4 linked regions of the Tribolium castaneum genome follow. The protein of the gene in region 3 purifies or fractionates together with the protein of the main gene of each other region. This does not show direct contact. Links are inferred from orthologs where the notes say so. Each region holds a gene or a part of one and is shown on either strand. Other genes may lie near its edges. The genes, in order: orb, CstF64, Sym and Cpsf160.

Region 1 (7,831 bases), on a different chromosome or scaffold from region 3:
TAGTAATTCAGATCCATTAAATTTAATTAATAAGGGCCGGTTTATAAAAAACTTCATTAAATTTACAATGAACAATGCGAATGGACCAATGAAATTGGTTTAATTTGGTCACGTGATTTGTTAATCAAGCATTTAATTGCGTAATAAATTAATGACGCCTCTATTCTATAAACCGGTACTAAGTCTGTTAGACCTTGTCCAACAGTTATGTACCTAGTTTAGTTATAATATTATCAAAAAACACACTTATATTTTTTTAATTTTTGAAACTGAAAATGTAAAACCGATTTATTATTATTTAATTTTTTTTTAACAGTAATCCTAGAATAAATTATAAAAAAACTTTGGGGACATGTTAAGAAGCTAAAAAGGCATCCTAATGAGCACTAAAAAAAAGAGCACGCAATTAAAAAAAATTTTTTATCGAGGTCGTACTTTTTTTAGGACATTCTGTATAAACAATTACCACGTCGAATAAAATCAAGATAACGTACCATAAAACAATGAATTCAAAAATAAAAGGGAAAAAAATGCCGCGATTTTCTCTTCAAGAACAGTAACTTAACAATAAATAAATTATCGCATCTAGAAAATTTCACTACACAAATAAACCCGTTAGAAGAAAACTGTAATTTTCCCAATTTTCTTTTGTTATTAACATTGATTGAAGAATCTATTGCAAAAAGATGAAGTTTCCAACCTCACCTAGAAGGACGATATGAGGAAGTATAGATAAAATTTTCTCAATTTAATTCTGTATTTTTTGAAGTTGTAAATATCATTACTTTATTTTTAGGTAGGGGTAACCAAACGTCCTATTTTTTCCGGACGTGTCCTCTTTTTCAAGGTCTTTGTCCGTGTTCGGTATTTATTTTTGAATTAATAAAATGCCCTCTCTTTCACAAATTTTACAATTTCATCGCACATCGGTATCATTTTTTAATAAATAAAAGGTTTTTTCGAAATTGAAATTAATAAAAGCTATTTTTGGTTTAGGCATTTCATAATGTACATGTTTCGAGATAAAATTAAGAAGATTGAAAGAGAAAGTGGCTTAACAGATAGATTGTCAGATTTTTTTTTACCAATAGAAGTGTAAAAAATATTCCAAAATTGTGAAAATGTAACCGAAGTTAATATAATAATGCAAAAATAATTTTATAGTAGGACAGTTCAAGAGTTTTATGTTTATTTGTTGTCTAATAAAACATTATTGAAAGTAATTTCTCACCAGAATAATCTTTTAAAATTTAATTTGTATGATGTGCTACTTTACTGTGTAGTTACATTTGGACAAGCATTTGTTCGAGATTTTTATTTTATCACCTAAAGTCTGGTTTAGATTTTACGATTTGTTACTTTAAAATAAAGAGTTATTGATTAACAAAAAATACGTTACATTTGTTATTTAGAAAAATTTAATTCCAGACCCTTTTTTTTCTTGCAGTTTCTGTGTCCTCTTTTTGTTATTTTCAAATACGGAGGTGACACAGGGGTGTGTAATCGGTCTATAAGTTTTGTGCTATTTAAAATATTGCTATGCCGTTTTTATTATGCGATAGATCGGTGTTGTATACAGGGGACCAAAGTTATATTTTTTAAATAGAACACCCTATATATTTTTGCATAATTTGATTCTACAGAAAAAATAATGTATCGTTGTAGAAATTATTGTCTTTTCGTTTCGGAATTATTCAACTTTTCGTTATAAAAAAGACCAATTTTTGAAAAATCATTACGTAGTTGCCTATGAAAATTTTCCGTTAAGTTTGCAAAAAAAAACTCAGAATACCTTGCAGTTTTAGCAAATAGTAAACTTTTACTTGATACACGCAGATAATGTACAGGGTGTGCCAAAACGCAAAAAAAGTTGAATAACTCATTTTCTTAAATGGAACACCATCTACAGCGTGCTCAAAAACTGGCGCACCAAATCAATGGTGTGTGGTAGAGAACTGGTTACATATAAAGGTAAAAATAGTAAAAAAATTATTTGTATTAAAGTTATTGATAAATAACGGATTTTAGATAAATGATATGTGGCAACGTTGTCTAACAGTCATGATCGCAGTAGAATTGGATCAATAATAAAAATAAATCATTTTTGAAACGGTTTCCGAGGAAACAATTCCCAGTGTTGGCACATCTACACATTGTGATTTTTTGAACAAATTTTAATTTTTTTAAATTAAAAAAACTGTTAAAGTCTGATGTGAAATTTAAAAATAGTTATTCATCGTTGTGTTAGGGAACGATTACTTAGTGTAAAACATAAAAACATAAAAAAAATAATGAAAACTAAAGAAATTAACACAATAGTTTGCAGCTCCAGATTTTTTAAAATATGACTTTAGGAATTTTTTCAACATTTTTTCCGTAATCTGCACTTGCTTCTCAATAACGTACCACTGAGTTGGTGCGCCAGTTTTTGAGCACCCTGTATATTACACGTATCGATAGCATTTTGCATATGCTTTCTAATGATACAGGGTTTGCATAGCAAATTTAAAGCATTTTTTTGACTTTTCAAAAAAAAATATTACAAGAAAATTTGTTATATTAAAATTCGATAAGTCAAATGGTAATCTTTTTATATGTACTAATGTGCCTAATTACATTAGCAATTTAATTATTAATTGATACATAAGTGAATTTTACTCATCAAGAATAACAAAATAAATAAAAAAAAATTCAGAACACTAAAAATATTTCTAATTTGCTATACAAACCGGATATTGTTAGAAAGTTTATAAAAAATGCTATCGATACGTGTAAAGAAATATATGGTGTTCCATTAAAAAAATGAGTTATTCAATTTTTTGCGTTTTGGCATACACTGTAAATTACCTGCGTCCTGCGTGAAGTAAAAGTCGACTATTGCTTAAACTACAGTATTTTCTGAGTTTTTCTGTTAGAAATTTATTGGAAAATATTCCTAGGCGACAGTGATTTTTCAAAAATTGGTCTTTTTTATAACGAAAAGTTGAATAATTCCGAAACGACAAGAAATAGACCCACAAAAGTTTACATGATTTTTTGCGTAGAATCTACGCAAAAATATTTAGGGTGTTCCATTTAAAAAAATGTAACTTTGGTTCACCAGCCTGTATACAACGCCATGGGTATAATAAAAATATTTTTAATTTATGTACTTTAAATCAATCTATGGGATAATAAAAACGACATGGTAATATTTTAAATAGCAAAAAAGTTATAGATTGATTACTCCCCCCTGGGTCACCCTGTATAGTCACCGTACTTTTCTATCTTCTAACCACCCTAACTCAATTAATTTTAGTAATACTAAAAAACGGCAATTTTATGCAAAATTTTATGCTTTACTGTTTTTATTTACAACTACACGTATCTTGAGTGAAAAAACACTCGGAAGACCCTTTTAAAGGGGTTGAAAAAAATTCTGTTTTCTGTGGTCACAAAATTTAAGACAAAAGACTGCACAAGCTGTAAAAAAAACGTTAAAAGTGACCGTACTTTAACCATACGTCCAATTAACACTAACAAGTTATTATTCAACAAAACTATTGCCCTGTTTTAATTAACTTTTAAAGCAAGAAGTGAGCGCTAAAAATACGTTTTTATACTCGGATGCGTTTCCTTCTTTTTATTTATATTTTATGTTTAATTAGAAATGTGATTTAATTAAATTACTCCAGCAATAACACTAATAATCGCAGATACTGACCCCGAAATTTTGTGCAAAACACCCTGTGTTAACAATTACATGCTTATAAAATTAGTGAGCAAACTTATGTGAAAGTAAGGAATTTGACAATTTCCAGCCCTATAATTTGTCATAAAAGTCCGGAAAATAGTTAGGTCTTGTTACACAACATTAATAATTAATTAAATAATTAGATGTAATTGCTAATGAGCATCTCGTATTATAAGTGGACGTTCATCCAGCGTAACGGTTGCTTTTGTGTCCCACTTGCACAAAAACTAAAGACTTTTTCTTTGTAGAGAGATAACACTTTTTTGTCGCTAAAATCCGGTTTGATTTTGATTAATTTGCATAATTTTACCTCCATCCTGTCGAGCACCGGCATTATCCCGGTATAGCAAACAACCACGTGTTGCAAATACACCGCAGATCGACCACCTTATCACCCACCAGAGCACCCTTAACACTTCACATCACTTCGAGACAACTGCTAATTTAGCGATGTAAGTCAACAGCAGAGTGAGTTTCCTGGAATTGAAGCGATTAAAGAGAGTTTCGTATGCTTCGATTGGTCCGTTGTAAAGAGAAAGGGTAATGTTTACATTGTGCACGTGCTCGCACAAAAAATTCAATCAGATTGACTTGACTCACTTCGCACCCCGTAACAAAACAATTCCTTGAATTTGAAATATTTGGAGTGCAGTTTTTATAACAAAGCTCAGTTTACACAACAAAACGCAATTAAATGAAAAGATCATTTTCTTAAAGGGGCCGCCCCCGACCGGCCACCTTTCGCAAAATCAAAATTAAAATAAAAGGAAAAAATAAAAATGATTATAGAGAAATGGTCCAGCTGTCCAGCGTCTTTTTTACAGTTGTAAACATATTTGACCATTGAAAGTTTTTTTTTCTAAGAAACATTCAACATTAATTATTTCTTGTGACACAATTTATTTCACGAATGCGTTCTTGTTCATGAGATTAAGGGCCTGAATGCAATCAGAGGGATTAATGAATATAGAAGACCTTCTTTTCATTGGGTGCACAAAATTTATAAAGTTTCAATAATCAGAATAATCTCCATTATGTGAACTAAAAAAAAACAGAGGTTTTCATAGAATGGAGATAGTTCACTTTTTTGTTAAACTGTTTATTACGTAATTAATACAACAAAGCAATAATAATATACTATGAACAATGGACTATTTGGTAACAGGAAAAAAAAAGTTCAATCTTTTCCTTTAAAGAATTTAGAGCAAAATCTCTGATTTTTCTCAGAATTAATTTTTTTCGAACGCTTTTAAACGGCTTCAGCTTCGTTCTCCTATAGTTAAATTTATGTCAAATTTATGTCAGAACTTTTCGTTTTGTAAATTTATTTATGACGAAAAATGGAGTAAAATGAATATTAATTATCACTAATCGCCATATTTGTTCTCAACACATTGAAGGAATAAATGTGTGCGAATACAAAAGTTTTAAATCGCTAACAAAATCAGAAAAATTAATTGAACACAGAAAAAAAGACCCATGTGTAGTTTTTTTCGTGGCTCATTCAACTGTAGTTACAAATTTGTATCTCCAATAGTTTTTTGGTCTACCATTCGATTTCTTAAGTTAAAGTAAGTTTTGGTAAAATGTCCAACCATAAACATAACAACTTGTTTAGACCTTTGACAAATTTAAGTAAAAACGTACTTTAAACATTCAGTTAATCGACAAAATTGTGAAGCCGAGAAAAAAAGCAATTTGGAAATAAGAACAAACTAGTAGCAGATTCTAAAAGTTATTTTAAAATTCACGTTTTTTATTTAGTATATCAGATCTCAATCAGTATCAGCATTTTCCACTATGTATTATTATTATTACTGTTGCTCTTAAAGTTCTCTTGATATTAACACTTCCTGCTTGTGGAGAGAGGACGTTTTTAGAAAAACTATCAAAAATTATCTAAGACGATGTACCAAAATCGATTTAATAATTTTCCTAACTTCCTGCTTTCCTGCAGTGGAAAAAGAAATACCCAATGGACTAGATAAACTATATTTTAGAAAAAGAATCTGCCTAGAGTAAAGTAAGGTGAATTTATTGAGTAAATTGTGTAAATATTAGATATGTAAATACCCAACAGCTGGTGTACATGCACAAAATTTAAAATTATTCTTGTTACGAATAGTTTTATTTTTATATAAATATACTATTTCAAGTATTTTAAAAGTAAACAGTTGCTTTCATTTATTTAACTTAGTAATTTTTAACTACTATTTTAATTAGGGGCGCAATATTTGGGACCTGTACACGGGCGGCCAATTGGCTAGGCTTGGCTCTTATATTTTACTCTGATGGAATTTCACTCTGAAAAAATAACGAAACTAAAGCACTTATGCCTCGTTAAACACCTCCTAATCAGAGTTTAAAACCGTAAATCAGGATTTAAAACGAATTCATTTTTTGAAAATCTGAACGATTCTCGCATCTTAAAAAAACATAAAACGACTTTTTATAATGTAGTTATGACTGCGAAATATTTTGAAACGTTTTTTCCAAATTTTTGGTGTTAATTATGTATTTCACGACATTTGAAAGTGCATTGATTTTAAAGATATGTAAGTAAAGAACTATTTTTGTTGTTTTTGTTCACAAAATGTGACGCTAACTGGGGGTGGACGATATTAAGATTTAAATAACGATAATCGATACTTTAAAATTATCGATAAACATCGATATATAAAAATATCGAAAATTGATACTTATCGATAAATCAAAAAAAAATATGGGTATTTATAGATAAAATGATAGTACCTATTAAATGTTACTGTAAATTTTAAAAAGTTGAAATGGTAAAATACTTTTTTTGTCAAATATATGTCTCAATTATACAGAGAGATCATAAAATTTTGTACTTACCTATAGATATGTACCTAAGGCTGTTGCAAAAAATGGTCGATTTTTTGTTTTAAATCGCCATCTTTACATAAAAAAGTTTGTTAGCGGCTTCATATGTTTTTGAACTGTCATCCTCAATTTTTTGAATTGGCAATCCTCAACTGTTTTTGATGTTCAGTATATTTTTCAGTTCTCTATTCAACACTTGTACTTAGAAAAAATAAAAACTTGTACGATATTTTTTTCTGAGAATATTAGACTGAAATCAGATGTCTATTTCAACACATTTTTTCTATTAAAAGAAAGAATGTTAATTTAAAAACAATCGGCGTAATTGGTCGTTCTTTACAAAAAAAGCAAAGAGTGCTTTGGAAAAAACGACAGCAATTTTATATTTAAACAAACTATAGATTTTGGAGGTTTAATTGCTTACTTATTTAAAAACAAAACATCATAAGCTAGAATTTTATTCTTCGCAAAACCAAAAACAAAACAGAGTTGTAGAAAATTCTGTTCGCATATTTAATAGAACTCTCAAAATTTAGTTTGTTTTTCAGCGTTTTTTCCAAAGCATTGTAGGCAAAAATGCATTTTTCTTAATTTTAAACAGTTTGTAAGTTTCGACCTTATCACGTGATACATAGTTGTAATCAGGAATAAAAAGACTTCAAAAATACAAGTATCAAAGTTGAGTGTTGTAACTCTGATATCAAGAACGCCTTGGAAAAGGCAATGACAGATTTAGATTTCTTGTAAAAAAGTGCCTGAAGAATGGCCTACTTAAAATCGTTTAGTTCTTTTAGTTTTCGCTTAAAAAAATAAAAACAAAAATTACTAATTTTTATTTTTCCCAATAATTCAGAAACTAAAAATGACATATCAAATTTTCAGATTACTGTTCAGCATACAAATGCCCAACTTTGCCCTAATTTAACCGACCTCGTATCATGTAAAACATCATTGTAATCAAGAACAAAAGACTTTTCAAAAACACAAATCTCAAATATGGCGTCCATAAGAGTGTTATCACATACATCTTGGAAAATGCGATGAGATTTAGATTTCTTGTAAAAAAGTACCTGATGAAGAAGATTCTAGTTAAAAACGTCCAGTTCTTTTGGTTTTAACTTGAAAAAATAAAAACGAAAACTAGAAATTACCGTTTTTTCCAATAATTCAAAATGACGTACACATCATTTTTTTTTTCAAATAATTGTTCAGCATTAAAATATTCACTTTCTGAAAAACAACCTTGTACCTCTT
Region 2 (7,377 bases), on a different chromosome or scaffold from region 3:
TTGCTAAAGCAAAGGTGAGTCCTGTTGACCTTGCAGCAAACATTGATCCTGATAGCGACTCTTCAATCAGATGGAAAACAAAATAAAAGGATGGAAAAGCAACCGTAACGTGTTAAAGTTGATGCAATGCCGGGAACTGAACAGCACCGCAGCAAAAGTCCTCAAACAGCGCACCCAATTCAGCGCCAATTTCATCCAGAGGTTAGGACTCGAGGCGGAGCTTGAGGGGCACCAGGGCTGCGTCAACTGCCTGGAATGGAGCCCCAACGGACTGTAAGTGCCTTTAGCCCCTTGCAGCAACTGACCGTTCACTCGCAGGCACCTGGCGTCCGGCTCCGACGACACCAACGTCATCCTCTGGGACCCCTTCAGACACAAGCAAATAAACGTGATCCCGACCCCACACATTGGCAATATCTTTTCCGTTAAAGTAAACAACCCGATCATTTTGGCACCGAATCTGAGCGTTTTTGCAGTTTTTAGCCGACGAAAATGTCATCGCGACGGCGGCCGGGGATTGCCGAGTGGTGGTCCAGAGCGTGTCGGGGGCCCTCGACAAGAGCGCCCCCTTGCTGGACTGCGCGTGCCACATCGGCCGGGTCAAACGCCTGGCCACGGCCCCCGACCAGCCTACTCTGTTCTGGTCAGCGGGCGAAGATGGCCTAGTTGTGTAAGGCAACTGTTTTGCCCAACCAAACACCTTAACTCACTTGCAGGCAATACGACTTGCGGGAACCCCACGAGTGTCCCACGCAAAGCAAGGTCTTAGTCGACCTAAGCTTCAAATCGGAAATCAAATGCATTGCTGTGAATCCCACAAAATCGCACTATATCGCAATAGGCGCCAACGACTGCTTCGTGCGCTTGTATGACAGGAGGATGATCAAAGTATCAATGGTAAAATAGGTAAAATGTTGGGGAAAAACTTGCATTTTTTGGGTTTTCAGGCGAATTTGTCGTTTAATCCGTCGAAGAGGACGTCCCCGCAGCCCCAAAACAGCGACTGTGTGCAATACTACGCCCCCGGGCACCTGGCACGCGAAAATGCCGGCATTATGAGCATCAAACTATCAGTCACTTATATCGCGTTCAATTCCGCCGGTTCAGAAATGTTGGTAAATATCGGGGGTGAACAGATTTATTTATTTGATGTAAATAATAGCCGACACATTAACGAACTCAAAATCCCCCAAAACTTACCTAAACGGCCCCATCAACCCTACCGGAATTGTTGCCAACCGGTAATTATCCCCCCAGTCACTACTAGGAAAATGCAATTTTTTTTAGAACGTACTGTTGGCTGAACTTAACGGGGTCAGCGCCGACTTGTTTGAGAAAAACACGGACTGTGCCTGCTTTTACATGAGGCGGGCGCTACAGGCGTACCAACGCAAGTGGTATTGAGACAAATAGCCAAAAAAAAAGGCTTGTTAATTTTTTTTTTCTTGTTAGGATGGGCGATTTGTATGCGGCAGCACGTGATTATTTACACGTGATTCAGCATTGGCCGGACCATAAACAGGCTTACATTGGATTAATCAAATGCCTAATTGCCATGAAGTGGGAAGACGAAGCCAACGCTTGGTTGAAACACTTTACAAAACTTTACCCCGAATGTGAAACCTCCTCGCAGGTGAAATTCCTCGTTGAGGAGTTGCAAGCGCTCAAAAACAGCGTCAAGTTTGAGGAGACGGGAGTGAAGAAGGTGGAAGATGATGAGAAAAAGTTACGTTTGGATTCGTTCGATTTTGAGAAGATTTACATAGGGCATTGTAATACCACGACTGATATCAAGGAGGCGAATTTTTTAGGTTGTTTGTGGTGGTTGTAGAGTGTTGGTTTTTTCACGGCGGCTTTCAGGTGATTGTGATAATTATATTTGTGCAGGATCGGACGAAGGGATCATTTTTATCTGGGATAAGAAGAGTATGAATGTGGTTAGGGCTCTCTTTGGAGATAACTCGATAGTTAATTGCATTCAACCACACCCTAGTGCCTGTGTTATAGCGTCCAGCGGGATTGATACGGCCGTTAAAATATGGTCGCCTCGGCCTGAGGTAAGCACAATTGCTGGTCTCACTTTGAAATTAAGTTGGCCACTCTACATTACGGCTTTTTTTTAATTCGATAAAGGTTCCAAAAAAAAGGCTAGTATGATTTTTCGAAAACGGATAACTTAGTCACTTGATCGGAAATTTTTCTCCGAAATATAGTAACTTTTTTCTATTAATTTTATTAATGTTGGAGTTTCCGTTGTCGTTTATTTAGGACGGCAAAGTGAACAACCGAATCGTCAAATGCATCTCCACTGTAGTCGAAACAAATCAGCATCGCATGTCAATGGACCCATTCGAATCAATGTTGGCGAGCATGGGTTACCAGATCGAAGGAAGCGCTTTAGACGGATCGTCCATTCAAGAAGTACCAACGTGCCGAACTAGCTAATTTTTTAACAAAACCATTACAACCAGATTTGTAACTGAAAGTTGCAAACGAATAAATCCACCTCTTGTTTACAATTTAATCGTAAACAACCGAAGGAATCGCTCATTTATTTTGTACTTTCTAGAGGGTGCGTTTTTGTTGTTGATTTTTAAATGATATATACACAATACTGTAAATAGTGTTTATGTTAATAATTTTAAAGATTTTTTAATTATCATGTAAACTGTAAAAATTAAACTGATTTGGGGAAATGACTTAATTAATCAACGGTGTGCACTTTTGGCGATTTGTTCCTTCAAAACTAGAATACTATTACGCTGTTCAGGTGGCAGCATTGCAATCTGCTCATCTGACAATTGCAGGACTTGCATAATCAGGGCCGCCTTTTCCTGGTCTGAGGCCCCAGCTGTACCTATACTTGAAGCAACATTGGCAGCTTGGCGAACTTGGGGGGTACTGGGGGGCCCCTGCGGGGCTCTGACCGGCTGCGGAGGCATCGCGTTTTGCTGAGGGGCTAAAATCAGACTTTCAACAACCAATTCAATTACGTACTTCACACATACGCATATTTTTCTGTCTTGGGTCAGCTCGCTGTTGTTGTCTCGGATCAGATGGGAAGTTGGCCGGACCTCCACGTGGGTCCCTATTAAAGCTAAGAAAAAGTATCAGTAAATTGTATTTCTAATCAATTGTAAATGGTTATTTACCTTTCCAATTTCTGATCCTGCTTAGTGAAACTGTTTAAATTTGAGTAAAAGGGCTCAAGGTTGAATTATTTTACTTACTTTTCGACAAGTGGCGGCGGAAGGGGGTTGGGGAGTTGTCCGGGCAAAGTGCGCATGTCCTGGTCGCCCAGGCGGCTGAGGCGAGGATCAGCCCCTCGGGGGTCCAGTGATCTTAGATCAACGTCTTGACCTGCAATAACGCAAACATTATTATTATTTATAATCAATTGTGATAAAAAAAATCACCTGTGAAGACCGGATTGGAATTATTATGAATCGCGGGGGCTGGCACCGGCTGAAAGTCCTGTCTTGGGGGCTGCACAGGCGTGGGATTCGAGACATAATTACTGTTAATCGGAATGGGGCCTGGATTAGTCTTTTCCTTGGGCGTCAAAGACGAAGGAACGGGATTTTGCGGATGCAACATTGTCTAAAACCCCCCAATAAAATATAAATACGCCCCCAAACCCCCAACTCACAGCCGCCGTATGCGGGTCAATAATCCTCATAACCACCTGCGCCTGCAGCAGAGCGTACGCCAACTGGGGGTTCTGCAGCAGCATCTGCCTGGCCTCAGTGGGGTTGTTCTGAATGCAGAGCTTCATCTGCTTCATCAACTCGAACATCTGCTCGGGGGGCAACGAGGCCACGGCTTTGCTGATGGCCTCGGGGGCCTTCTCGGCCTGAATCGGCTCGCCGTAGGGGTTCTCGACCGGGGGCTGGTTCAGCAAGTTTTGCATCTCCATGCGCGATTTCTCGGTACAGGCGTTGTCGACCCGGAGGTTGCGCCCCCCGATCTCGTACCCGTTGAGGTTGCGCATGGCGCTGAGCGCCGTCTCCTGGTCGCGGTACTCGCAGAAGCCGTAGCCTTTGGGCTTGCCTGTCTCGCGGTCGAAAACCAACCTAAAATTCAGGCGTTAGGGGGCTTCAGGGGGCAGGGCAACGTACTTGAATGACAGGACCTGGCCTACTTCGCCGAAAATGTCTTTGAGCTTCTCTTCGGTGGCTTCGTAGGGGATGTTGCCCACTGGAAGCAATGGGGTTATAATTATCACTTAAAATTTAAATAATTTGTACCAAAGACCGAACGCATTGACTTGTCCATGATATTTGCTTCTAAATTATCCATGGTGATTGTTTAATTCCAACTTGGAACGAAGTAATCAAGACACCTGGGACACCAATTTCAACAAACGGTCAGCGTTACCAACCCTCTACCTTTTAAAAAAGTACAAAATTATGCATTTTAAAGCCAACAATAACAAAAATGTTGGTTTATCTATTGTGGTTACAACCCTAAAGTGAATCGTAACGCCTGACTAGGCCTGTTTGTGCACATTTGGCTAAATAAAGCAAATCGGGTCCAGACGCACAGTTGGTACCCATGACAGAATTAAACGTAACCTTACAATTTGAAAATTGTTTTTTGTTACTAATTGTTGGAAAATGAGCACAGTTCAGGCGATTAAACAGCTCGAAGAGCGCAATGTGGCCAGTGAGATTGTTCAAATGGTGTGGAGCGACCGTATGGACCTTGTCGCTCTTGCCAATATCAAAGGTAACCCCCATTTGCAGTAACCGGCATTTTTGGGTGTCTTTGTAGGAGAGGTGGCTCTTCATCGACTCACTTGGACCAAAGCGTGGAGTCTCAGTGCCCCCAAGGATGGGTTAAAGGTCACAAGTATTGCCTGGAGGCCTGACGGCAAAATCATAGCAATTGCGTACAGTTCTGGTAAAATATTGTAAAAAAAGTATTGGAAATAATTTAAATCCATTGTTTTGTGCAATTTCAGGCCAAATACTGCTTGTGAAGGTCGAGAATAAGTCGGTGTTGCACACTATTGACATCAAGGGCGAAGTTTCATGTCTCAATTGGTTGCAAGACCGGACTGTTAAAGGGAAACTGCCTTCAGTTGACGAAGACAGTAAACAGAATCAGTACATGAAACACATTGTAAAAAAACCCGAATGTTAGTGCTCGTTTAATTTCCCAGTTGTAGGACTTATCGGGTAATTTTTTGCCCGAACCGGTGCTACAACAGTTCGATTCCCCCAACAACGACGATGGTCAGAAAACCAACATTTTGCAAGAGCAAACCGACTTTAATTTGCTCCTGATTGGGACAAGTGAGGGCACCGTGCACGTGCGAGTTTTCGGTTGTTTCCCGTGCGCTTCCCTTGACTTGAAGCAAACTCTCAACTGTCTTTGCTCCATCCAGAACATGCATTTGAACGAGGACCTGAACCGCATGTTTTTCACAGTGCGAGACAACGAAAACAACGTTAAATTGATTTGTTTCGATTCGGAAATTTTCAAAACGCACACAAACGAACTGTTCGCTTTGGCCCTCAAACACATAAAATTGACCTCACTGGTGACCTATCTCTCCAACACTATTACCACCATCACCGAGTCCTGGGAGAGCATTTTGCTGGAGATGGACAACAAGTTGTCGAAATATGCGAGCAAGGTGCCAGAAGGGGGCGTCACGGCTGATTTTTTGGATTTGCTGACGTTTGGAATTTGCTCGGATGAGATGAAGACCTTTCTCATACACGATTTAACGAAGAAAGGGTTGGAGAAGTTCGGGCAGACGATTGAGATGAGTTATTCCAACATTCAGAAGTTGATGCTGAAGTATGTGATGAAGTTTGGGCAGAATGTTACCTATCACTTGGCCGAAATGAGGGGGATGGCAAGACTGGAACACCGCTATAAGGTTGGTACAAGTGTGTGGTGGCTGCCAACTCAACAAAAAAATTAAAATTTAATTTTGTGTGAACTTGGCAAGAAAAACCATCAAAAATGCACAAAAATGGAAAAATCACATTTAGTTCGATAATTTCAAAGTCTGAGAAATAGTTAAAAAACAGGCGTATTTTAGACGAAATTTTACGCAACAAGCTACATTGAGTGAAACAAACAAATATCAATCAGGTTTGCTTTGAAACGAATATAGTGTCTGATTTTTTAAACGAACAAAATACTATCTGGCAAAATAAATAAATATTTAGTTTAAAATCGAGCAAATACTACGTGAAAAAAGTCCAAAATATTCGGGGAAACCCCTGACGGCTTTAAAACGCCTTTTTCGGCTTTTCGCTCCCACGTTTAGGACGCGTTTCAATTGAAAAGAAGTTATTAGTGTAAAAAATGGTGATTGGGTGATTGTAGGTTTTGGGTTTGGACGCGGCCGCCATTACCGGCGCCATTTCCTCGAACGGCGCCTTCTTGATCAAAGGCAGCGAAATGCAGCAAATCATCAATCACTCCATCATCAATTACAAGGCCTTCTTCCGCTGGCTCTACACGGCAATAATGCACGTTCTGGATGAGCCAATACCGAACGAAATCCCCAAAATGACTCAGCAAGACCTGGCTTACATCACCGAATTTTTGCAAAACTTTGACCACATCAGTCGGAATAACAAACAAAAGGGGTTCATTATGGAGCGGTTGGGGCAATATTTAAGCGATGGCAATTTGACGATCCAACCAGACATGTCCGGGAACGAATGGACTGATTTTTTGGCCCAGAACCAATGCATCGAAAAAAATAGTTCCATTTTGAGGCACTTCAAAGAGATGTCGCTGATACAACAGTACAAGCATTTGAAGCAAAGCGTCGATGCGATTTTCGCGACACCTAGAGAGCAAATTAGTAGGCAGTTCAGTCATTTGAATGACTTCAATTGTTTCCAATTTTGCGGCGATTCGTTACGGACGTCCCAAGTCAACTTAAACAAAGAATCGATTCTTTTTTGTTACTTGCAGCCGCCTGAGACCGTTCTAGGCCTGCAGGTGTATCTAGACGATGGCAATTGTTTCATAAAGTGTGCGCGTCTGTACTTCCCCCGTGACAATTCCGAGGATAATTATCACGTGATCGATATTAAACTATATTCGAGTGCAGTATTGTCGGTTTTATTGCAAGAAAACACCGTTTCTAAAGCTACAGTTTTAAGTCAGATACCGATAGGTGGCGTTTTGGACAAGTTTGTGGATGGGGGGGAGACAGATCGTGTTTTTAGTGGTGCGGTTAACGTGGTTAGTTTGAACGGTTCGTGTTTGGTTCCGAAGCTGTTTAAGTGTGTGGAGGGGATGGTGGGGGCGGAGTTTGCAGTGTCGGGGAGTCGACGTGTCGGTATCGTATTGGCGGAAAATCGGAGGAAGGTGCGCTTGTATGAAATGGAGGGGGAGGAAGAG
Region 3 (7,687 bases):
ACAACCACCGGTGGCGGAACAATCGTTGGTGGCGGCTGTGCGTAACTTCCTAAAATGATTTCCTGGACTGTGGGCGGGATGTGCGACCTTTGCCCTTCAGTAAAATTCAGCAAATGCTCTTTGAGCGGTTCCCTCAACTCGGGACAAATTGACAACGCATCAGATAGTTGGGGCGGTGGTAATTGCATCAAAACAGTAAAACTTTGCGGTTTTGTTCTTTGACAACATTTGATAAATCCCTCCCATACCACTTTCTGTTTCCAAACCTTCAAAAAGCAACAAAAAATATTGATTATTTTTTTTTTGTAATACGACAGAACCTGTTTTAAGATCAGACGTTGCAAAATATTCATCACGAACCCTGACAGTCGGGGATAACTGCCCAAAGCTTGGATGACAGTCCTCATGAGTAGAGTTGGTAGCGGGGTTTGGTCCATTAACTGTTGCAAAACAACAGCTAATACTTCTTGAGTAAATACCTGGAATTTGGTAATTTGAGAAATATATTCGGTGCGAAAATAATTCGTACTTGTTTTTCCTGAAGACACATAGATGTGGCCTTAATTATAGTTTTCAAGTCGGCTTTCGTGGAATCAATTAAATGTAGAGCGACCAAAAGTTCAGTTGGGGTAATTGGACTGTCACCATGTAAGCCTAAAAGTCGGTTAAAGACTTCCCTTACAACAACCGGGTTCAATTTAATTAGCTTTGGCAAAGCTGCAATTACCTACAATTGTACAAATTAGTCAAAAGTACAAACGACGCTCGACCTCATTACTTCTTTCTTTGATAACCCGTTCAAAACTGGGATAAGAAACCTAACATCTGACACTCTCGTGTGATACAATTCCCTGACTCTTTGCACCAACTGTGCACTCGGGGGGCCCTTGTCCGTCAAAACGTGTATAACACGCGTGACCAAAGTTTCCGAGCCTTTGGGACACTCCTCCACCAGTTTTAGAAGCTCAGGTGAGTCCATCCCCATTGATCTGATCGGGGTTTCAAGCAGACGTAGAATAATCCGTTTAATGTTGGCCCCCGTCTGTACGTAAACCTTAGCCAAGTCATGAATAAGACTCTCATTGGCTGGCAATAGCGAAATATACGGAATAAGACAAGCTTTTATAAAATCATCGCCCCAAGTCTCGCTCTTCAACCTCCCTTGACTAAACCCACACAAACTCTCCGGCGGCCTTTGCAACTTCAAAAACTCCAAATTCATTCGTGCAAACTCCTCAATCACCAACCTCAACTCCACCTTCTTGTGCAACTCCAAAACGTGTCCAATGGCACACTCTCTTACCACGCTCAATTCGTACGTCGTGTACGAGAGGAGGGCGTTGAGGAACATCAACTGTTTGGGGGGCTTCCGGACCGTCAAATCGTGCAACAACCCCAAAGCTGCTGTGCATTTCTTCTCGTCTCGGCACAACTGGTGGAGCTTATCCAAAGCCTCGTCTGTTATTAAAGGCGCTTCCAAAAACAATCGACAGAGCACTGCTGAGTCGTGCATACAAGCGTTTATAAATGTGCAAAGCAAGATGTTGTAGCTTTTGTCCAGTTTGGTGTCTTTGCGTAAAGGGGGCACTCTTGAGAAGCCCTGCAGTATTCCGTACTCTTCAAAAAGCCACGCCAGGGCCAGGTCTATGTGAGACCGTAAGTCTGATAGGAGAAACGCCAACACTGTTTGTCTGACAGTGGGGCTAAAGCAGGCTGCGATTGTGGTGATTAGTTTTTGGTACAAGCATTTTGCGGCTGTTTTGTCCGCGGTTAAAAGTCGGTTTATGGACCCTATTAACAATTTCTCCTTTGTTTCTTTCTCGATAGGTTTGGTGATTTCGGACAGTTTCAGTGTCTTGATTCGGGGAACTTTTGCTCGTTCCTTCTTCAGGAGCTACCAAATGTGTAAAACATGTTGTAAAACAAATAGAGGCTTCATTATATTTTTTTTTAAGAATAATTACTAAAATTTCTTTGACCTCACAATTACGATAAGTTATCAAAACATAACTTAAAAAAAATACAGGATGCGTGATACATAACTTCTCAAATCATCCGAACCAACATAAGCTAACAGATAAAGATAAATACATAAATAAATAAATAAATAAATAGACAAATATTTGGTACAATGAATTACATCTTATCTTTTCTTAAATACAGCTGAAAATGTGAAATCTGAATTGCAAATTACTGTTTCTGTTTTACTTATTATTATATTATTTGTGTGCAAAAATTGTTTTCTTACCTTTTCCTTCTCTTCCTTGTCCTCTTCCTCCTTCTCCTGCTGTCTAAATTCCTCGACCTTTTTTGCAAAACTTTTCGAAGACGGCGAAACCCCGGCCTCAGTCAAATACGTGGCAATAAGTTTTGTCAAAACATCAAATTGGCCAACTTTTCCACTATCGACATATTTGCCATACTCTTTCGCAAAATCGGGAGACATTGTAGCCGGCAGTTTACTCATAGAAGCGAAAACCATTTGAACCGCTCTTTCCAACGTGAAATTTTCAGACACAAAGTTCTCATTCAACTCTTGCAGTGTTTGCGAATCACTGTCATTGGTGTCGTTATCGAATTCAATTTGAGGATCAAGTCTAGGTCTTTTATTGTAGATCTGAAGGGACTCAACTGAGAGAGTCCTCTTGCAATATTTCCGCCGCTCGTCGGGTTTCGGTACCATTTTAAGAATGTCTTGCTGGGAATAACCTGAGAAAAAAATCCTAAAAAATTTTTTTGCGTAAAAATAAAACGCACCTAAATCGGTGAGCATTGGGGTTAATTTCTCCACAAATTCGTAAGCCGCTGGGTGTTTGATAAGTCCAGCGAGTTCGGATTTTAATTTTTTACGCACGGAATTCACTTGAGTTGTTGTTAGAGTTGGAGGTAGGTTATTGTAAAGTGATTCAATAGCTGAGACAACTCGAGACATAAATTCGGCCCGATTTTTTGCAATGTTTGTAACAACGCCCAGGCAGGTTAACAAGTTGGCACTGCTAATATGGGGAGAGCCAAAAAATTTTAAAAGTAACTCAAACAAGGTACTAAAAAATTCAATTAGAAATTTGCGAATTTAAAAAAAAATAAATACTTTGCTTCCTCTTCTAGTTTTCGCCTCCGCGCCAATTTTAACGTCAGAGGAACATCATCGAGTGAGAAGTCGTTCGGTTTCTTGTTCTCTTCCTGGTCGGGATAAGTTTGCAACAACACAACACATTCTAAAAATTTCACTGAACTAGTCCTAATGCCGTCATTGTCACTATCAATCATATTTGCAATTTCTAATTTTATGGCAGACAATTGCTTCCAGGCGTTTTCCATTTCTTCTGTAATTACAGAAGCCTTGCATAACCAGGCCAACGTTTTGCGATAAATACTGATTAAAGCTTGAATTACGCGCTTTTGCACCGCTATTGACTCATCACATAGTAGCATATGAAGGTTTAGCATTACTTTAGGTAAAAGAGACTCGCGCATTTTGCTAAAACAAAAGTTAAGTAACCAATTAAAATGCATAAAACCTACCATAACTCTTCAATAAAACCCACTAGCGCTTTTTTCACGTCCCCATTCCTATCAGTCGTGAAATTAAGCATGTTTTGTAAAAACTTTGGCAGCAAATGGGGCGACTTCCGAATCAAAACTTCTTGCAATTTGTGGAAGTATTCAAGCTTTTCTGCAGCAGAGCGGGACACTGCAGCGCTATTTATCCATTGGGTCACCTAAAACGCGTCTCTTTACTACCGAAATCAACTAAATCTCGGTTTTTTACTAAATCCTCGTCGGAAACTTCGTTCATGGTAAAATCCATGTCGAGAGGATTTTACAACCAAAAATGACGCAATTGTTGCCACTAAAGCAACGAAATTTCGAAAACAAAGCTAGTTTTATCTAAAGCGTTAAATTAATTGAAAATGAGAGCCAATCATCCATTTTTGGAAAGCCAAAGATTGAGGTTATGGCAGAAGTGACGTGAACATGTTACCAAAAAACAGTAACTTTTCCGCTTTTTGTTGGCGACTTTTGCTGTCAAAATACTATTGATGTGTCAAAATAATAAAAAATTATTAAAATACAATGTAATTGCTAATTACTTGGAAATTACAATACAATAGATTAAGTAACTATCGAGATGGAATCGAATACGCCATCCGAAAGTGGCAAGAAAATCGTTTTGGAGAATTTATCGAAAGAGGAATTGGTTAAACGGTGCGAACGGCTTTTGATTCTCGCCCAGAAGGCCAAACAGGCGAAGGACGCGCTCCAGGAGGAAAATAACGAGCTGAAAAATAGGCTAAAATCGGAATCTGGAGATGCCACAACTGCAATTATCGAAAATTTGACCCAACAGAAGTTGCAGTTTGTTACCACGATTGAAGACTTGAAGAGCCAAAATGCCGCTTTGGTGAATAAAGTGCAAAACTGCACGCAAGACGCACGTCTGTGTGAGGAGAAGGATAGGCTTGAAAGCGAGAATATTTCGTATAAAAGGCAAATCAAGCGTTTGACGGATGAAAATGAGCAGCTGATTACGCATCTGGAGTCTCTGGAAAAGCAACTCGAAGAGTGCAAAAACCTGGGACTTGAACAGCAAAATCAGCTGCTGATGTTGGAAGAGGCGAATCAAAAGTTACGGAGTGATGACACAAGTGATAAGTCTGCAGAGTTGCAGAAGATGCTTAGTATTAGTTTAGAGGAAGTTAAGAAGTTGCAAGCTGAGAATAACACAATGAGGGAGAAAATTGACGTGCTCAAGACGAATCTGGGGGAGAAGGATAAGAACATTTTAACGATAGGCCAAGAGTTGCAGGAAAAATTGAAATTGGTCGAGGATTTAGAAAAAATCAAAAATGAAACAAGAGAAAATGTGGAGTTGGTTGAGAAACTTAAAGGGAGACTGAAATTTTATCACTCAAAAGTTGTAAAACTGGCCGGTAATGTGAAGGTTTTGAAGGAAAATAAAAACGAGGTTTTGCGTTTGCTCAAAACGTACTCACATCAAGTGGAAGAATGGAAAGAACAGTTGGGTGTAGCTTCAAAAAAGTTGTGCCAAGAAATTAGTGATATCAAAGTACAGAACTCTGAATATCACAAGGAAATTGAAGGTTTGAAAGAAAGTAATGCAAAATATCTGAAACAACTTGAGGCACATAAAACCGACGACGAGAAAAGTAAAGAACTTGGCGAGTTTGAGAGAATTTCCAAAGAACATAAGAAATTGATTGAAGAAAATCAAAGATTGTTACAACTTCAACTTGACTACCAGCAAACTGTTGAAACGCTCACTGTTGAAAAGGAGAGTCTGCTTGAGAATTTGTCTCAATTGGAGGAAAGACATCAGGAAGAAATCAAAGTTTTTGACGACCAAAGCAAGAAAGACACAATTGAGATCAAGAACAGAATCGAAGAAAATGAAAAAATTTGCATTGAATACCGAAAAGTCATCTCCAAGCTGGAGGAGGATCTAGATTTAAACTTGAGGGAGCTAAATGATGCGAAGCAGAAGAATTACAGTCTTCAAGAAGCACTTGAACATTCAAAAGAAACGGAGAGGCAAATTGCTGATAAAACCAGTGAAGAAATACTTAAACTAGTTCAAGAAAATGCCCAGTTGGTGGAAATGAACCGAAAATTGCAAACCACCCGTGATAACTGCAAACAAGTGGAATGCCAAACTGAGGATTCAACAAACAGCGAACTGGAAGAAGTCGTGTCAGGTTTGAAGAGAGAAAATTCCGAACTTTTGGCCGAAATGAACGAAATGAATCAAGCACTGAAAGAAAGAGGAGAGACTATTTCCAAATTGCAATCTCACTGCGAAGAAGTTATGAAAAAATTGCAATTGTATGAGACACAAGCCAACAAAAACGTTGACAACATATCCCAAAAGGAGGAAATAATTAAAAAACTTGAAGACGAAATCGAGCGACTTAAAGCCACGAGTGACTTAAACTCAAACACCTCCGAAATCAGTGATTTGAAAAACGAAATTGAGAATTTGAAAGAACGGTTAAACTCGAATCTTGATTCAAGTTACGCCGATAGCGAGTGCATGTCCACGTCGACAATTTCAAGAACGGAGGAATCAAACAGAATGAAAGATCTGGAAGGGTCTTGGGAGGAAAGATACGGAAAACTACGAAACTTGGCCGTGAAACTGAAAGGGAAAGTTCGTGACTTGTCCAACGAATTGGTGAAGGAGCAAAACGAGAAGAACGATATTCAGCAAAAATGTGCCAGTAACGTGAAAACCATCGCAACTTTGCAAGCCCAGTGCGATAAATTACAAGACGAATTGGACGAAAACAAAAAACAAATAAAGGAATATTCCGCCCGATTGGATTCGACCCTTGCTGAAGTTTCCAAAGATAAGCAAAAACTGAGCGAAAACGAGGAGATAATCACCATACTCAAGAAAGAATTGGAAGAGTTAAACCAAGAGAAAGTCACGACTGAAGCCTGGAAGAAGCAAATAAGCGGCAAAGTTTCGACGTTTAGAAAGGAACTCGAAGCGAATAAGGTTTTGAAGAAGGAATACGAGGCCAAAATCGCCAAACTCACCTCGGACTTGGAGGCCAAAGAACAGGCGCTCAAGGCCGAGAGCGAGTACCACCAACAAACGAAAAATTCCCTTGAACATTCCAATATCGAACGCAAGAAAAACTCCGTCCTTAACCTGGAAATGCAAGACTACGAGAGGAGTGTCAAGGAGTTGTCCCAGAAATTGGAAAAGAAGCAAGAAGAAATCAACAAGTTGAAAAGCCAGCTCGAGTCGCAGAAAAGCACAACAAATGCGGTCCGCGAACAGAACAAGCTTTTAGAAGAACGAGCGGAAGAGATGAAGAGCGAAGTCGGAGCAACACAGGCTGAAATTATCGCTTGTAAGAAGCAAATTTCTGACTTGGAATCGGTCATGTCGAGTAAGGAGAACAAAATTCACGATTTGACCCAAATTTTGGAAACCGTGCGTTCGGAAAATGAGGAACTGTCGACTGAGTTATCCAAAGTCATTGCCGAGCATCAGAAAGTTAACACAAGCCTGAAAAGCGAGAAAGAAAATTTGAAAGGGCAAATTCTGGGGCTGCAGCAGACTTTGAGAGACGTCCAAGATGCGCTAAAACTGAAGGAAGACGAACTGAAAATCGTGCAAAATGATTACGAAAATTACAAGGTTCGGGCGCAGAGTGTCTTGAGACAGAACCAGAGTCGCGATGTTGGTCTCGAGGAAAAATTGTCGGAAGAAGTGTCAGCTCTGGGGGTTAAGTGTGAGGCTCTCACTGCGGAGCTAAACAAGTGCAAGTAAGTTAGAGTGGAAATTTAGTTTTTGTGACTGATGTCACGTTTGTAGAACTGTTGTTGACGATTTGAAGAAGGAAAATGAAGCATTGGTTCACGAAAAATCGGAAGTCTTGACCAAATATGAAGATGTGTTGAGCGAAGTTGAGGACCTTAAATCGCTCTACGACCAACTAACTAACAAGCATCAGCAGACCATGATAGAACACAGCGAGACTGTCAGGAGTTTAAAGGTAAAAATGGATTTGCATGACAGATAATTGGGTTATTTTGAGACAAATATATAAACGCATGCTATGAAAATTATATAATAACTTGATAACTAAAAGAGATTTAAAAAATCTTGAAAAATTATTACATTTTTAAAGTAGTTGATGTATTAATTATGCAA
Region 4 (7,776 bases), on a different chromosome or scaffold from region 3:
TGCGTGAAATCCTCGGGGATTTTCGACGTGAAAAGGCCCGAAACGTCGCGGTACATGCATATGGTGGTGACGGGGGGCGACTGCAAATTTTGCTTCACTTTTTGAAAAATCATATAAAATAGTTACGTTTGACAGAGTTGATTTGCTTATGACTAGTTTAGCGACCCCTCGGGCTTCCCGGAGCATGAGTGTGATCACTTGACCGTCTGTTGTTAGTAGGGAAATGTAGGGGTCGACACTTGTCACGTGGACTATGGGGGACCCCAATTCCAGGGGAATGTGTTGCAATTGGTTTATCCCTAAGAATTTTTTTTATCAATGATTTATAAAGTGGGGGTGTCTTGCCTTGTAAAAGTCGCACAGCGCTGCTTGTAACCTGCACAATGTACTTCAAGTTTCCTAAATTACCAGCGTAAACGGTCGGGATGTGAGTGGCAAAGCCCGTATTATCGATTTCGTTGATTTCGTCACCCGTTTGCAAAATCTACGAATTTATTTATAATTATAACACAATTATTAAGAAAAAAAAACAATACTTATAATAAAAATAAAATAAAAAGAAATATAGGCTATTTCCTAAAACTGTCTTTCGTGGAAACTTGTAAGACAAGGGCTTTTATTGCGTGAAAAATATTTTATCGAATGTAAGATGACTGATAAATTTAATTCATTTCAAAAGAGAAAATTTAATATATTTTTTTCAGTTAGATTATAAAAAACTAGTCTCATTTAACTGCTAAAAATTCATGCATAGAAATTTGGGGTCAAATAAATTCGATATTTTAAAAAATAAAAAAAAATAAATGAAGCGTCTGAAATTAAAAATAGGAATTAAAGAACAAACGTTTATAGCAAAGGGCTCTGTAATTAAATTTTCCAAACATAAGCTTTTGCGTTTTCTTAAAAAAAATCCTCTTTATTAATCTTCTTACGTTTATTTGAATTTTTAATGTTCACTTAACTAATAATTTTTTGGGTCATATTTTTATGGATTTTTGTCACAAAATAACAGATGACACAGTAGTTAAAAATTAGGAACAATAAATTATAAGGAAAAAATTCACAGGCATAGAGAAAAATACAAAGTATTTTGTGTAATTACTGAATTTTTGACATATGGTAAAAATATACTTTAAAAAGACCAACCTGTATAACAAACAAAAACTGAAAACAAGAAAAGAAAAAAAGAAAGAAATGAATTTTCTGGTTATTGCCTTACCACTTGTATAATAATTAATAAACAAAACTGAAAACAAGAAAAGGCAAAAAATGCTTAAATAATTATAAAAATACGACTGAATTTCCTGGTTATTGCCTTACCATAGTGCCGTCCTCTTGACTCAAAATGAGAAACGCATGTTTGTCCTCCCCGGCATGCACAGTCCACATATTGGAGCACCCAGGTAGCGTAAAAGTGGTCACAATTTGCGGCCTTACAGACTTCTGTAACACACAAAGCGCCCCGTTTTTCCCATACCCTGCTGTTGTAACAAGTTCCAAATCTAAATCAAGGTTTTCGGAAAATTCCTCGCTCAGAAAAGCCGGTTCTCCTAGCGAGATATTGCCACAAGGGCCAATGTTGAGTAAACTATCACAGACCTAATAAAACAATTAATAATGTTATAGAATTATTTTTTGTGTGTTATTATTACTTCAAAGACGTAGCTTGATATTTGAAGACTGGCTTGCTTTTGATTTCCGTACACTTCCAGTTCTTCCGGATCGCGAATATCTAACACATCACTAGCCATACAATCGTTTAACGTGTCCAGGACTTTATCGTCCTCATTTTCACTTGTACTATTGCTAGCTTTCAGGCGTTTGGCGCTCGGTTCGATCGTTTCATCCAGAGTTATGACTTCGTTGCATTTTTCAGTGAAGCGCAAAAGAAGGGAGTTTCCGAGGCGCGAGCCGAGGAACAAAAAGTTGTTCTCACATACAGAGATCTAAAATCGCATTTTTGTATTTTTGTTTCGAGTAAAAAAATCATAATTTAAACTGAATTTTTTTAACTAAGTCTTATAATTACGTGTTATTTCAAAATATTATACTCACACATGTTGTGAGAACACTGGCTGCAGCTTTCTCAAAATGAAAACTCCTAACATATCGCATATTGTCTGCCAGCAAAGTTAGGACGTAAAGTTCGCCCCCTTTCAGAGACAAGACAATTGTATCGTCTTCCAAAAACGTGGCTTGTGCACAATCTAGACTTATACATAAATCGTCCTGCGGTTCTAGAAGAAATAACAGATAAAACGATGTTTATGAAATAAAAATTTCATACTTAATGGAAAATTTGTTGAATTTTCGGCAATACTGTTCAAGGAAACCCCATACGGTGGAATACTTTGATTTAGATAAATTAGTGCATTTACTGCAAAAATCAACGTGCCACCGAGCGGTTTTTTAATAGGGACGGCTTTTACACAATCAAACGGCAAATTTGCAACACTCCAAATAATCGGGTGCACTTTTTGCTGCAAGTTGAGGGAAATTGCAGCCATGGCACACGTATCAGTTCGCACAGCGACGCGCCTAAAGCAACAATTAATACTTATGTGAGGGTTAATGTAACAAATACCCAGCAAAAGTTTTCAAAGGCTCGAATAAAATCAGGAGCGTTGGTTCGTAATAACCGTGCAAGAACTGGATGTCTATTATGTTGTCAACTTTATCGATAAAGTCCTTTAAAACAATCATATATGAGGCCAAGATTGGCGCTTTTGAACCGTAAGCTCCACCAATCATTGGCTTAATATCAGCATCGGTGTCATCAATTGCGTTTTCACGCCTGAAAGGAAGAACTACCAATTTTCGGCCGAAAACGGTCATAACAGCGCAGCGGTTTTCAGGATCAGCTCGCACCATAGGCACATGGTAATGGTGGGTCCAACCGTCCTAAAAAATACATAATAAAAAAAAAAACAAATTAACAATAAATTAAGATCTGATAGCCAAACAAAAATTTAATAATAAAGAATTCCAAAAAAACTCATTTTAATTGAGAGCAGACTTCTGATTTAGCTGATAGAGGATCTGAATTAGTTTTTGATTTCTTAAAATATTTTTTTGTTTGATGAGTGTCAGAATTTTGTTTGTGAGAATAATTTACGTAATATTATTTTTAAATGCTACTTTAGATTTATTTACTTTAAAAGAGAAATTGATTGAAATTGAACCGAGACGAGTAATTGATCTAAACCTTAATTTCAATATCAAGTAACTGAATTAAGTACTGCTTCTCATTGTAAATGTAAGTAAGTATTGCAATGAATTAGTTAACAGTGCTTAGTTTAAGCACCTTCATGTCATCTTCCTCAAAGTAGTGCAAGCTCAGAGTCTTCAAATCGTGCGTTTCGGGGTCATATTCCACCACTGATAATTTTGCGTCTTTGAACGCTAATAACAGAGCGTCTCTGGGCGAGTTTGCAAGATTTACGCTTTGCATGGACATGATATTTCCAAACAAAGTGTATTGAGCCACACATTCTAGCTTAGACTTCGGAGGGTTTGTTTCTAAAAATGTGGAAAAGCAGTGTAAACTGGTGAAAATGCAACGTTTTTGCATACCATTAAATTTATCAATTCTGGTTTTTGTGTCAATGTCTGGGATCAGGCGAAACACTTTGATTACGTTGGCCCCTGACGTAACTAAACTTTTCTCAGACTTGCTGAAAAAATGGCACGAAATTGCGTGTTCCACCCCCGTGGCAGGGTGCGTTTGTTTACAAATAGAAAACATTGGAATAATTTAATTTGCAACAAGAACACACGGGAAATTGTTTAAGTTGCGGAATTATGAATAGTTTTGTCGGTTTAGCATATTTGGGGGCTGGAGTTCATTCAGTTTATTTTGATTTGTGAACTTTATTTGAACCATAACCTAAAAACACAAAATTGGTGTGTATGCGGAAAACGTCTGATACTGTAGAAACCTGTGGTTGCGAAAACGTAAACTTAACAATTAATTTATATTAAAAACGTAATATTTTTTGTAAAAAACACAAAAAATATAATAAAAACACTACCTTTAACGTAAAGTTTACATTAATATTTATTGTCTTTAAACAATTACTTAAAATTTTCGAAATTATGAACTTTATAACAATTTTGGTTTCCATAATACCGGCTGATCCAGAAATACTAAGTCTGTTGGCAACAGATTTGAAAGTATTTGTGTATATTTTAAATAATAATTATTTTAAAATAATAAATTGCAAAATTTTTAAATACATTTTGGATTAAGATTACAAAAATGCAAAAACATAAAATAACGTAATGACTTTGTTGCGATCATGTTATATACAAATAATACATATTACAAATTTTGACCAGATGCTGCGTTATCTCTATTTCTCTATTTCATTACATCTAAAGATTTAAGGTTTACGTTTGAAGTTATGTTGCACTTTTACGTTCACGTCCATAAGGGAACTCTAGTTGACAAAAGGTTTTTCTACCTTTATCAGGTTGGGGGTCTTACGTTTAAATTTGGAGCCTTTATGTATTTATGCTGCATTATTTTCTTATTTTTTCGCCTTATTTTCTTATTTCTGCCGGTTTTAAATGTCTCCTCTTTACGTTTACGTCTATGTGTTTTCACAATCTTTTATTTTTATTTGCGTGTTGTTTCACTTACCTTTTCTACAATTTTTTTCATAGAAAAATTGTTGCCGTGATCCGGGTTCGAACACCCGACCTCCCCCGCCGAAAGTGGCGCTTATACCACTGGGCCACCGGGGGCCCTAAGTAGTGACCGTCTTTTGCAAATATTTTAACACATTTTTTTTAATTCTTTAAAGTTAAAGCTCTTCTTGCATTCCTGTGATTTCGATACGAATTTTAAATTTTTAAAACTTTGAATTTTAAATAATTGTCGCATTTTAATTTAAATTAATAAAATTTTCAATACGAGGCATTTATTTAGTTTTCCACAATAATTTTTAAAAACAAGTATAATTTAATTAACACAAAGAAGCCATAAACATAGAAACAATTTATTAAAAATACATGAGCAATAATCATACAATCTTTATAATGTAACAGCTAATACAAATCGTAAGAAAACAATGATCAATATTCTATAAAATTTATAAATCGTATGAAACTTGTAATTCTATAAACAGTTAGAACAACTATTGCCTGAGAAAAACCTAACTACAAACACATTATTTTGAGCAGGAAAACATTCTGATCACAGCTATTATTAGAAGAATAAGGCCACAGCATGATAGACAAAAACCAAAAGTTTAAAACAATGCATCTAAGCCACTTGATTCTCGATGCCCCTTGTTGGATCAAATTTAAGCAGATTCGGATTGCCAGTAATTCCCAACTCATTTTTGGCCGATTGGGCACCTTCTAGTATCCTAGTTAGGTGAAACTGTTGCAAATTTTCAGTATGCAAAGGGCACCTGCACAAGTAATGTCAAAAACAACCACAAAAACCAAACAAAAAATATACCGTCCAGCTCCAAAGTGCCTATAATCCGTCACAGCTTCCCCACAAACATAGCACATCATGGCACCACAGACGCAAGTCATTTTATTACAGCCTGATTCTTTGTAAAATTGTTTAGAGCATTTCCAACACTTCCTGCAATAATAATTTGCATGAAACTTTGCAAAAAAAAGGCAATTACCTGAGAAGTGCCTCAGTCATTTTATTTTCGATGAAAGTTCGCATTTTAACATCTTCGTCGTATTCGATTTCGTTGCATCTTTTAGGCACGTGGGACCTATGGCGACAAAGGCGGCATGTTTCAGCCATGCATTCAATGTTGGCACACTTAAAAATCTTGTCTCCTTCGTCAGGGATCATACAGAAATCGCAGAATGGACAAGTTTCCAAACCGTCAATGTTGGCATTGCGTATTTCTTCGATTTGTTTTCGGTGCCAAACGCCTTGGAACACTTTACGGTCCAAAACCATCTAAGGAAGCTTATTAACTAAATGCCAATCCACTTAGGATTCTAGCTATTTTATTCACAATCACTTTATTTAATTTATATAATGTTTAAATTTTAATCTCACGTAAGTAAGTGCCGGTTTATAGCAAGCTTTGTTAAAATTTATTCGTTGTTATAACAACGCGAATGGACCAATCAATTTGTTCAATTTGGTCACGTGATCAGTTAATCGCGCATTAAATTACCGATTAAACTAACGACGCTTCTGTGTAACATTACAAGCAAATGCAGTGTAAATGACAATTCGGAAATAAAATTAACTAGACGCCCTCTGGTGATGACTTTTGAACTATGTCGAAAACAGTAAAGAAATTTTCGTAATGCCGCATTTAACTGACATTTAATGAATTGTTCAACAATTTTGCGTGTTTAGTGTTAATTACTTACATTAGAGAGAATCACTTTAAACGTACGTGGTGGTAAATACTAGCTTTGACTTTGGTTCTGTAGTTTTTCGTGGTATAAAGTGTTTATTGTTGGAACTTGAAAGTGGATAAAAAGTGAAAAATATTTAAATTTTGATTACAAAGTGTTATCAAACAGTTGTCTAATTAAAGATTATAAGTAATGGATCACAGCGAACACAAACTTTGGCTCAAGAAACCAATAAATTAGTGAAGTGTTATGAATTTTACGTTAGAATTTTCCACTGAAAAAATCATGAAATGCTGCGGTAAATCTACAAAACTACAATAAAGATTAACAACTGCTAATACATTTAAACGTAAATTATGCCAAAAGGTAGGCTTTTCAATGTCTTTGTAATAATTTTCCAATAAAGAAAGTGAACCAAACAATCATTCGTTATTCGTGTTTTCCTCGTCATTTCTCATTTGTCAACATAAGTTTCTTGCATCAAAGATGCAATAATCATTCCGCATAGGCAATGTAATAATTGTGAAGCCCCAAAATTCGGACAACGCTCAAAATATCCGAATAAACATTTTCCCGCCATTTATGGTTACTGTTTTCGACCTAGCTCAGTGGCGCCCCCAACGGTAATTTTATTTCCGAATAAAAATTTAAATTAGTTGAATCCTCGATGAATAAATTTTAATTCGACTTCTAGACAGCAGGTTTAGAATTGTTTTAGTTAATTATTTTTTAAGACCAGCGACATTTATGTAACGTATTTTTTTCACAAAACAACATTTAAGCATTTAAGTATTTAACAGCAAACACTGAATAATTCTGTTTGACAATTAGTTTTCGAGATAAAGTAAAAAAGTACTTTTATTTTCATTATTAGGTTTTTTTTTTCAATAAGTATTAATAATTGCTTTTGTCCAAACATGTGGATACTCAGTATCTTTTACTAAATTATTATCAACTGATCTTTTCTGAATTAACTAAATTTTTACATAAATTCCGTTGTTGTTTACAACAGAAAATGCGCTGAAGGTTTCAGAATTGCTCTGACAAGTAAAAATACAAAAGCCTCCAAAAAGCTATTTTTTTGTAAATTTTTAAATTCACTAATTAAATAAATACTAAATAAATTGCGTAAAAAATGAATCTCACATATTACATTTTCTACCTGAAAATTATTGGCTTATTCCAATCCCTTATGCATTACAATTTTTTCTGAAAACTGTAATCGCAAAATTATTGACTGTGAATAAAAAAGCTCATTATTTGAAATAATCATCTACGCACGTGTAGAGTCGAATAATCAAACTCTGAATCACAATCTGCAAGGCAGGGAAACCTCGTTTCCTCCTTCCCTATTACGTTCTCAGCCCCAGATCTGACACAATCCTTGCAAAAAATACATCCCTTGATGCAAAAATAACACTCTTCTGG

What was found.
Region 1: the proteins of Sym (region 3) and orb purify together in Homo sapiens (affinity purification with mass spectrometry; 3 studies listed by BioGRID and IntAct, counting the BioPlex papers as one, with this or other methods). This does not show direct contact. The link is inferred for Tribolium castaneum from reciprocal best matches to the Homo sapiens genes SYMPK and CPEB1.
Region 2: the proteins of Sym (region 3) and CstF64 purify together in Homo sapiens (affinity purification with mass spectrometry; 4 studies listed by BioGRID and IntAct, with this or other methods). This does not show direct contact. The link is inferred for Tribolium castaneum from reciprocal best matches to the Homo sapiens genes SYMPK and CSTF2.
Region 4: the proteins of Sym (region 3) and Cpsf160 fractionate together in Homo sapiens (co-fractionation; 5 studies listed by BioGRID and IntAct, with this or other methods). This does not show direct contact. The link is inferred for Tribolium castaneum from reciprocal best matches to the Homo sapiens genes SYMPK and CPSF1.

Annotation. Positions count from the first base shown.
Region 1 is NC_087400.1:9,094,603-9,102,433, forward strand, and holds the start of orb (cytoplasmic polyadenylation element-binding protein 1), read right to left. Parts: upstream 4,207-7,831; 5' UTR 4,068-4,206; coding exon 4,044-4,067; intron 1-4,043.
Region 2 is NC_087400.1:318,760-326,136, forward strand, and holds CstF64 (cleavage stimulation factor subunit 2 tau variant), read right to left. Parts: upstream 4,503-7,377; 5' UTR 4,300-4,502; coding exon 4,248-4,299; intron 4,198-4,247; coding exon 4,119-4,197; intron 4,074-4,118; coding exon 3,650-4,073; intron 3,601-3,649; coding exon 3,417-3,600; intron 3,361-3,416; coding exon 3,231-3,360; intron 3,183-3,230; coding exon 3,153-3,182; intron 3,098-3,152; coding exon 3,009-3,097; intron 2,960-3,008; coding exon 2,709-2,959; 3' UTR 2,613-2,708; downstream 1-2,612. Other genes in the region: WD and tetratricopeptide repeats protein 1, read left to right, coding at 71-273, 319-430, 477-670, 717-897, 948-1,241, 1,288-1,397, 1,453-1,811, 1,861-2,057 and 1 more; APC4 (anaphase-promoting complex subunit 4), read left to right, coding at 4,617-4,728, 4,774-4,902, 4,964-5,124, 5,171-5,890, 6,346-7,377. UniProt on the Homo sapiens protein: One of the multiple factors required for polyadenylation and 3'-end cleavage of mammalian pre-mRNAs. This subunit is directly involved in the binding to pre-mRNAs.
Region 3 is NC_087398.1:8,153,687-8,161,373, reverse strand, and holds the start of Sym (symplekin), read right to left. Parts: upstream 3,960-7,687; 5' UTR 3,812-3,959; coding exon 3,773-3,811; intron 3,723-3,772; coding exon 3,526-3,722; intron 3,482-3,525; coding exon 3,092-3,481; intron 3,045-3,091; coding exon 2,758-3,044; intron 2,710-2,757; coding exon 2,249-2,709; intron 1,895-2,248; coding exon 779-1,894; intron 728-778; coding exon 530-727; intron 480-529; coding exon 321-479; intron 267-320; coding exon 1-266. Other genes in the region: GRIP and coiled-coil domain-containing protein 2-like, read left to right, coding at 4,133-7,299, 7,349-7,529. UniProt on the Homo sapiens protein: Scaffold protein that functions as a component of a multimolecular complex involved in histone mRNA 3'-end processing. Specific component of the tight junction (TJ) plaque, but might not be an exclusively junctional component. May have a house-keeping rule.
Region 4 is NC_087394.1:33,811,719-33,819,494, reverse strand, and holds the start of Cpsf160 (cleavage and polyadenylation specificity factor subunit 1), read right to left. Parts: upstream 3,932-7,776; 5' UTR 3,746-3,931; coding exon 3,305-3,745; intron 2,902-3,304; coding exon 2,585-2,901; intron 2,539-2,584; coding exon 2,288-2,538; intron 2,238-2,287; coding exon 2,056-2,237; intron 1,947-2,055; coding exon 1,653-1,946; intron 1,600-1,652; coding exon 1,321-1,599; intron 485-1,320; coding exon 346-484; intron 300-345; coding exon 127-299; intron 81-126; coding exon 1-80. Other genes in the region: uncharacterized protein LOC103312284, read right to left, coding at 5,267-5,417, 5,468-5,599, 5,646-5,935, 7,630-7,776. UniProt on the Homo sapiens protein: Component of the cleavage and polyadenylation specificity factor (CPSF) complex that plays a key role in pre-mRNA 3'-end formation, recognizing the AAUAAA signal sequence and interacting with poly(A) polymerase and other factors to bring about cleavage and poly(A) addition.